Linked DNA regions of Arabidopsis thaliana. The protein of the gene in region 2 interacts with the protein of the main gene of each other region in a pairwise test. Each region holds a gene or a part of one and is shown on either strand. Other genes may lie near its edges.

Evidence for each region. Proteins that work in one complex are often made in the same cells at the same time.
Region 1: the proteins of PUT1 (region 2) and ABCG10 interact in a protein complementation assay, tested with the Arabidopsis thaliana proteins (one large-scale study listed by BioGRID).

What each region holds. Positions count from the first base shown.
Region 1 is NC_003070.9:19,860,800-19,864,553, reverse strand, and holds the start of ABCG10 (ABC-2 type transporter family protein), read right to left. Parts: upstream 1,734-3,754; 5' UTR 1,677-1,733; coding exon 1-1,676. Other genes in the region: AT1G53265 (uncharacterized protein), read left to right, coding at 3,079-3,456.
Region 2 is NC_003070.9:11,416,628-11,420,381, forward strand, and holds the start of PUT1 (Amino acid permease family protein), read right to left. Parts: upstream 1,838-3,754; 5' UTR 1,640-1,837; intron 1,539-1,639; 5' UTR 1,513-1,538; coding exon 64-1,512; 3' UTR 1-63. Other genes in the region: PUT2 (Amino acid permease family protein), read right to left, coding at 2,248-3,735.

The DNA of each region.
Region 1 (3,754 bases), 8.4 Mb from region 2:
TTCTGAGACTCTTTGAGGTCTTGTTGTTTTAAGAACACGTCTCCTCGATACTCGTTGATCATCAGGCATTCGAATGGATACTTGAAGAGGCTGAGATAATGCATGAACTCCCAGTAAACGGGGATCCTGTCCTTTGCAATGAAATACCCGGAGAAGAGGAAGAAAGATCCCATGAGACCTGAGATTACTGATGTCCCCATTATGAAGTTTGGGACAAGAGCACTGAAACATGCGACAAAAGAGTTTGACATCAGAAGAACAATCCATATCACCAATGAGAAGTAGAGGAAGCCGTCTAGCTCTCTTCTGAGACCGACCAGCCAATAAACCGGCGTAGCAAAGAGCATGCTTATGATCAACAAGAAGGGAATGAATATGAGAGTATCTGCTAAAACGTAAGACAAAACTCTGTAAGCCCTTCTCGATGTCTCTCTCATTAGGATTCTCCTGTCTTGCAAGAAAATTGGAAGTCCCTCTGTTGTGGAAGATAGCAGGAAAGTGAGGATAAAGGCGAAGAACCCGGTTCGCAAGACTTTCGCTTCTTTCTTTTGATTTCCTACGTTCAAGTAAATCGACCCCAGTATAAGACCGGCAATGGAAGCTTGTAAGGCTCTGGTTGTGAACAATTGCTTGGTTCTGAAGATGTTCTTGCAAGATCTTTGCCCGAGTATCTGCACTTCCTCTAACACTGAGTTGCTGTGAGAATCAGATTGATGAAGCTCTCCTCCTGCACTAATATAGCAACTCTTCCATGTTTTGCTATGACCATAACATGAGATTTCTCTGCAACTCTGGGTTCTGATCGGTTCAAGACTCCCTGCAATATCAATTGCATACTCCAAGACATTTACCCGCCTAGGAATCTGGTGACCGGAGAACTTAATCTTCTGATGAAGGCTATAAACTGATCCGTTTTGAACAACCATCCCGTTAGAGAGCAACACTATCCGGTCTATCTGCTCGAGTATGCGAAAACCAGGCTGGTGAATCGTCAGAACAATGGTTTTACCTTGTTTAATCGTCATATCTTTGAGAAGCGTCACAACTTGAAGAGCGGACGCAGAATCCAAACCAGAGGTTGGCTCATCGATCAATATAACATTTGGATCATGAACAAGTTCAACTCCAATAGAAACCCTTCTTCTCTCTCCTCCAGAGATTCCAGATCTTGATCCTTGACCGATCCTTGAATCCGCAACATGTTCTAGACCAAGCTCTTGAATCAGCCTCTTCACCTTTGCAGCCGCGTCTTTCCTCTTTGTCTTCAGCCTCAAGAGTGCGCTGTACGTCAGTGTTTCTTGCACCGTAAGAAACGGAAACAGAGCATCTTCTTGTGGCACAAACCCTGAAACCCTCCTGTACTCAGGACCATCCATAGGCCTACCGTTGACAAGCACTTGCCCTGAAACTTTCCCATGAGAAACTTTTCCGGCTAGAATCTCCAGCAACGTGGTTTTCCCTGCTCCGCTTGGACCCGCGATCGCAGTGATCTCCGCGGATCTTGCATCACAAGAAACATCCTTTAAGATAACCTTTTCCTCCTTCTCACTCAACAAACCACATAAATTAGAAAACTTTGGAGTGTTTCCGCCTATTCTATACGACAGATTCTTGGTTTCTAATCTATATGAGATTTCCCGGCCACCGGGAATAGGAGCTTTTACCGGCAATTCCATCTAAGAAAGAAAGAAGGAAAAAGAAAGCATCAAACTTTGAGAGATAGAGAAATCAACAAATTGAGCAAAGAGTGTGAGATTAAGTGAAGAATAAATGGTAGAGAAGATGAACTAACACACCAAACTTTAAGGAACCTCTCCTTTATTATTCAAACATTCAAAAGCTTCAAGACTTTATTAGCTTTCTCTTATTGCCTTCCATGAAAACCGAAAAGCACTTGACTATGACTAAATTAAACCAAAGATATTTATGATTCCAAGCTTAAAATGCTTAATTTGTTTTTCTTAATAAAGAATTTGTTCGTAAATAATATTGATACAGTTAGATAAATTTATATGAAATTAAACATTTGTTGTTTTTCTTGTATTTTTTAATTTCTAATGAAATTGGTTGACCAAAAAAAATATCTAAGAAATTAAGATATGTAGTTGGTTCTTTTTTTTTTTTTTTTTTAATTGGGTTTTGAAATTGTGAAGAGGTACAAGAAAAGCAAAAAAAGAATTAGTTAGAAAGAGATTTGGTTTCGTCTAGAGATTCTCAAATTCGGGTGAGCTGAAAAATTGACCGTGAAATGTTTGCCTTGTTGGTGAACTTGTTTTATCTAATTTATTAGTTTTTTCTAACAAAGAAAGAGAGGAAACCCAGTTTGGTTGTTATATATTACCTACAATATTTAATTACGTGTTTCGAACTCGCTTACGGAAATTCAGATGTTTAATTAACAAGGAATAATCACGTAAGAAACCTCACTAATTTAATTATTTTTGGATAATAATAATAAAAAGACGCATTATAAGATGTTGTCTAGGTGGGCATTCGGTTAGATGTGGCTGCAAAGGTGAAGGGGCTGATTCAAAGTTGTGACGAAAAAAATCGAATTTTGATTTGGGTTTGGAAAAAACACTTAAAGTTGTGACTAATAAACTTTAATTCGGTATAAAATTAAAAACAACTTGGACCAAACGTAAGCGGGTGACTGGAAAAACGATATTTTTATACCAGTACAATTTGCAAAGTATTGTTTTCTTATATAAAACATACTGTACAATGTTAATTCTTTACCCAAATTCATAAAAAAAAAAAAATTATATCCAAACTTTATAGGTCGCACGTATTTTAGGATCTGCAATAACAAATGTTAGTTAATACTAACATACGTCGACTCAAATGACCCATGTTTAATGAATTAGCATCATCTTCAATCAAACCATGTCGTTTTGATCACAATTTTTCTTTTTCTTTTTTAAACCTAAGATTCAAATCCAAAACTAAAAGTAAAAAATAATATAAAAACACGAAATGAAACAATCTCGACAATCCAAAGAGCAAACAAAATCTTCAAAGTTGCGAGAGAGAGTTTTTTTCTCTAGACCTAACAATGTGTATTAGCAGGTTTCTGCAATGGGTGTTGCCAATCTTCGTGTTATGCATTATGTGCATAAAGATAAGGCCTTCGCGTACTGGTCTTGTACATGTGTCTACGCACCTGAATCTCGGTATTGCTCTGAAGAGCACAAAAAGATGGCCTTAGCAGAACGGGAATATGAGCTACCACATAACTTTGCCAATGTCCATTTGCATACGAATATGGAGGATCTTGTCCTACCAAAGATTATAAGCTATTTGAGAGATCCTCAACTAGGTATCATTGAAATACCTAATCTACAATACATAGACGACGTTTTTAATGTCACTCCCACTGAGCAACCAGATATGTTCTCTACTAACCTCGACGAAAGAGAAGAATTCAACATATGGTTGTTTATGATGATTTCGTGACAAATGGGTTTCTCATGTCAATTGAAATAACAATGGGACGATTTTGAAAATAATGTAAAATAGTAATGATATGTACTACAATTTTTAGTTTTACATAATATCCTTGAAATTTGAAAGATCCATCTAAACCCATTTATGCTTGGGGTTTTTCCATTTTCACTAAAACCTCTCCATTTTTATCATCTTCCAATGGCGATTTCTCGTTCCATCCTTCACCGGCCAGCTAAATCCTTTTCCTCACTGTTCACTCGTTCCTTCTCTTCGTCATCTCCTCTCGCCAATTCCCCTACTGTTTCTC
Region 2 (3,754 bases):
CAGAAAGATATACAGTTTGTTTGAGTTTGACTATAGGTTCCAAGCTTTTTTACCTTTGTATCCCTAACGTAACAAAGACTCTTCACAATCCAAATTCTCCTTCTGAAACTCTGCCAAATCAGAACAGACTGAGAATTTGACCCATTTCTTTCCATCCATATGATTTAAACAAGGTTTCATCAAGAAACCAATGACCACCATCACAAAGCTCACAAGAGCCACTTTAATAGTAGATAGAACAATAACCAAACATATCAGTACAATCGGAGGGACACATATCAGAATCGAACCAACGGTTCCAACAGGTATCTTATACGGTCTCGATGCAGCCGGATGTTTCTTCCTCAGTCTAACAAATGCTATAAACTCCAAAATCATTCCACCACAGTAAAGCAAATTCTCTGCAGCTATAATCTCTTGAAAGCTTAATCCTGACAAGAGTAAAACACCTGAGGCTGAAAACAGAATCCCTAGTAAAGGTGTCCCGTAGCGAGATCTTTGCGCAAAGATCTCGGGAAGTATACCGAGTTCAGCCATTCCAAGTAGCTGAAAGGAATCACTACTCATTTCGGCTAAAAACATTCCCATGTTTGATGTAGCTGCAGCCGCTTGAACCCACAATTGTAACCATCCTCCACCGATGGCTTTAGCAACCTCAGCTAGATATCCATCTGTCCATAACTCACGATCCAACGGTATAGCCCCGGTTCCAGACAAAAGAGGGAGGAAGTTCGAAAGAGCGACAAAGATAACACCGTAACACAAAGCCTTAGGAAGTGTTTTCTTCGGATTTGCCACTTCACCGGCCAGTGTACTAACCGAATCCCAGTAGTTCAGATTCCATAAAAGCGTGTTGAGATACAAGTTCCAGTTGACATTTCCTAAATCCATCACAAGCCATCTCGAAGGCTCGAGCTGCGGAATAGAAACCAGACTCATTACAGCAAACGGAAGCATAGAGAAAACTCCCATAAACACAGCGGTCCAACCAACAATGGTTAGTCCTCTATAGTTTAAGTAAGTAAGCAATAGAGTCAAGATCAAGATCGATGCAACTCTTGGCAAACCAGTAGCTAAAGCCGGGACCGCGGACTTCAAATAATCGAGGAAAAGAACAGGATACAAAGCGTTATCAATAACACCGCAAAGCCATTTCATCCAACCTACTTGAAACCCCCAAAAGGTTCCCAAAGCAGAGGAGACCCAAACAACAAAACCGCCGTTTATTGGAAACATTGTACTCATCTCCGCAGTGATTAGTGCCTCAGGGATACACCAAATGAAAGGGAAGATCACAAACCCTAAAAGAGCTAACAATGGTCCTGCTGCATTCACACTACCTTCAGCACCGAAAGGACCTCCTGAGACTTCGTAGAATATGAGGAAAACGAGTGGTAACATTGAAACTTTCTGAATCGAATTGTTTCCTTCTTTAGACGATCCACCAACATCGCCATCATCATCATCGTAAAGATTACCATAAGCAAATTCATTCATGTTATAGTCTCCCATGGTAATGAACTAATGATACTTCCCTTCTGAATCAACACAAAGAAACAAAGAAAAAAAAACAATCAGATAAATTCTTGGATCCTTATACGAAAGTCTAAACATTTACGAGAGGTAAAGAAGTACAAACCGTGAGAGAATCTAGGGTTGTCTGAAGATTGAGCGATGCTTTAAGAAGAAAACAAAACTCACCCATATCGTTGTACTTGTCATATCCTGGAAAGGATTGAAGAAATTGTGGTTCTCTGTTTTGAGAGTGTCCATATCAATGACAAGTCCTAAATATTTAATAAATTATGCAGATGGAGACGATGGTGATAGAACCTCCGATCAATTGAGACTATAGCGATTTTGTTTGCGTGTCAAACACTGATACTGCTTTTTGGGGTTTTGTGAGGGTTTTTTCTCTCTTTCCAATCATTGGTGATGAAAACTTATCCAAAGATCCAAGCTTTGCAACTGTTGACCAGACTTTGATCGAAGGTTTTGTTCAAAGACTTCAAATTTCCAAAGCCATGTTTCAAATCGACAATGGCAACGACAAAAACATAACAGAGATACAAACATTGCACATTTTATTGGAACCGTGCTAACGATGACCTAACTTTACGAAAAAACTACAACTTTAGAACAAGCTGTGAATAAAACAGAGTACAGACTATGAGAAATTAAGCTTTTTTGGCTATAGCTTCCAAGCTCTGTACTTAACATAGACGAGGGAAATAACTAAGGACATTCTTAACGTATTAGAGTTTCTTCGTATTCCCGAGTCTGCTGTTGAAGGTCCGGTAAGTCAGAACTGATGGAGAATTTGACCCATCTCTTTCGATCCATATGGTTCAGTAAAGGATGTATCAGGAAACCAATGATCATCATCACAATGCTCACTGCAGCTACTTTAAGAGACGAGAGTGCTACAACAGCACAGATCAGTATGGTTGGAGGAATACACATGAGGATCGAACCTGTGGTTCCAATAGGTATCTTGTACGGTCTTGATGCAGCAGGGTGTTTCATTCTCATTCTAACAAACGCTATAAACTCTAAGATCATACCAACGCAGTAGAGTAAGTTCTCTGCAGCTACAATCTCTTGAAAGCTTAGCCAAGACAAGAGAACAACACCTGACGCTGAAAACAGAATCCCTAGTAAAGGTGTCCCGTAACGTGACCTTTTGGCAAAGAACTCGGGAAGCATACCGCGCTCAGCCATTCCGAGAAGCTGAAAAGAGTCACTACTCATCTCGGCTATAAACATTCCCATGTTTGATGTAGCTGCAGCCGCTTGAACCCACCATCTCAACCACGCTCCACCAAGAGCTTTGGCCACATCAGAAAAATACCCATCTGTCCATTTCTCACGCTCTAGCGGGATTGCCCCGATTCCAGCCAAAAGAGGGAAGATGTAAGAACAAGCAACTAAGATCACACCATAAAACAAAGCCTTTGGAAGTGTATGGTTGGGGTTTTCAACTTCACCAGCTAGTGTACTAATCGAGTCCCAATAGTTTAGATTCCAGAAAAGCGTGTTAAGATACAAATTCCAGTTCACATTCCCTAAGTCCATCACAAGCCATCTCGAAGGCTCTAGCTGCGGAATCGAAATCAAACCCATCACAGCAAACGGAAGGATGGAGAAAACTCCCATAAGCACAGCAACCCAACCAACTATAGTTAGTCCCCTGTAGTTCAGATACGTCAACAAAATAGTCAGCACCAAGATCGATGCAACTCTCGGTAAACCGCTACCTAAAGCCGGGACTCCAGACTTCAAATAGTCAAGAAACAGAACAGGATACAAAGCGTTATCAATAACACCACTAAGCCATTTCATCCAACCTTGCTGAAACCCCCAAAAAGGTCCCAAAGCAGAGGAAACCCACACAACATAACCACCATTCTCGGGATACATTGTTCCCATCTCCGCAGTAATCAAAGCCTCAGGGATACTCCAAATGAAAGGAAAGATCACAAACCCTAGAAGAGCTAATAATGGTCCTGCTGCATTCACACTATCCTCTACACCAAAAGGACCTCCTGAGACTTCATAGAATATGAGGAAAACAAGTGGCAACATGGAAACTTTCCGAATCTTATCGGTAGCTTTAGGCGGTGATGATGGAACCTCATCAGCACCGACACTTGAGTAAGGAACTTCATTATTCTCGTACTGACTCATCTCAATAGACGCGGAGGGGTTCACAGTGATGATTCTCCGCTTCTGCATAACGTCATCCAGATTTTAA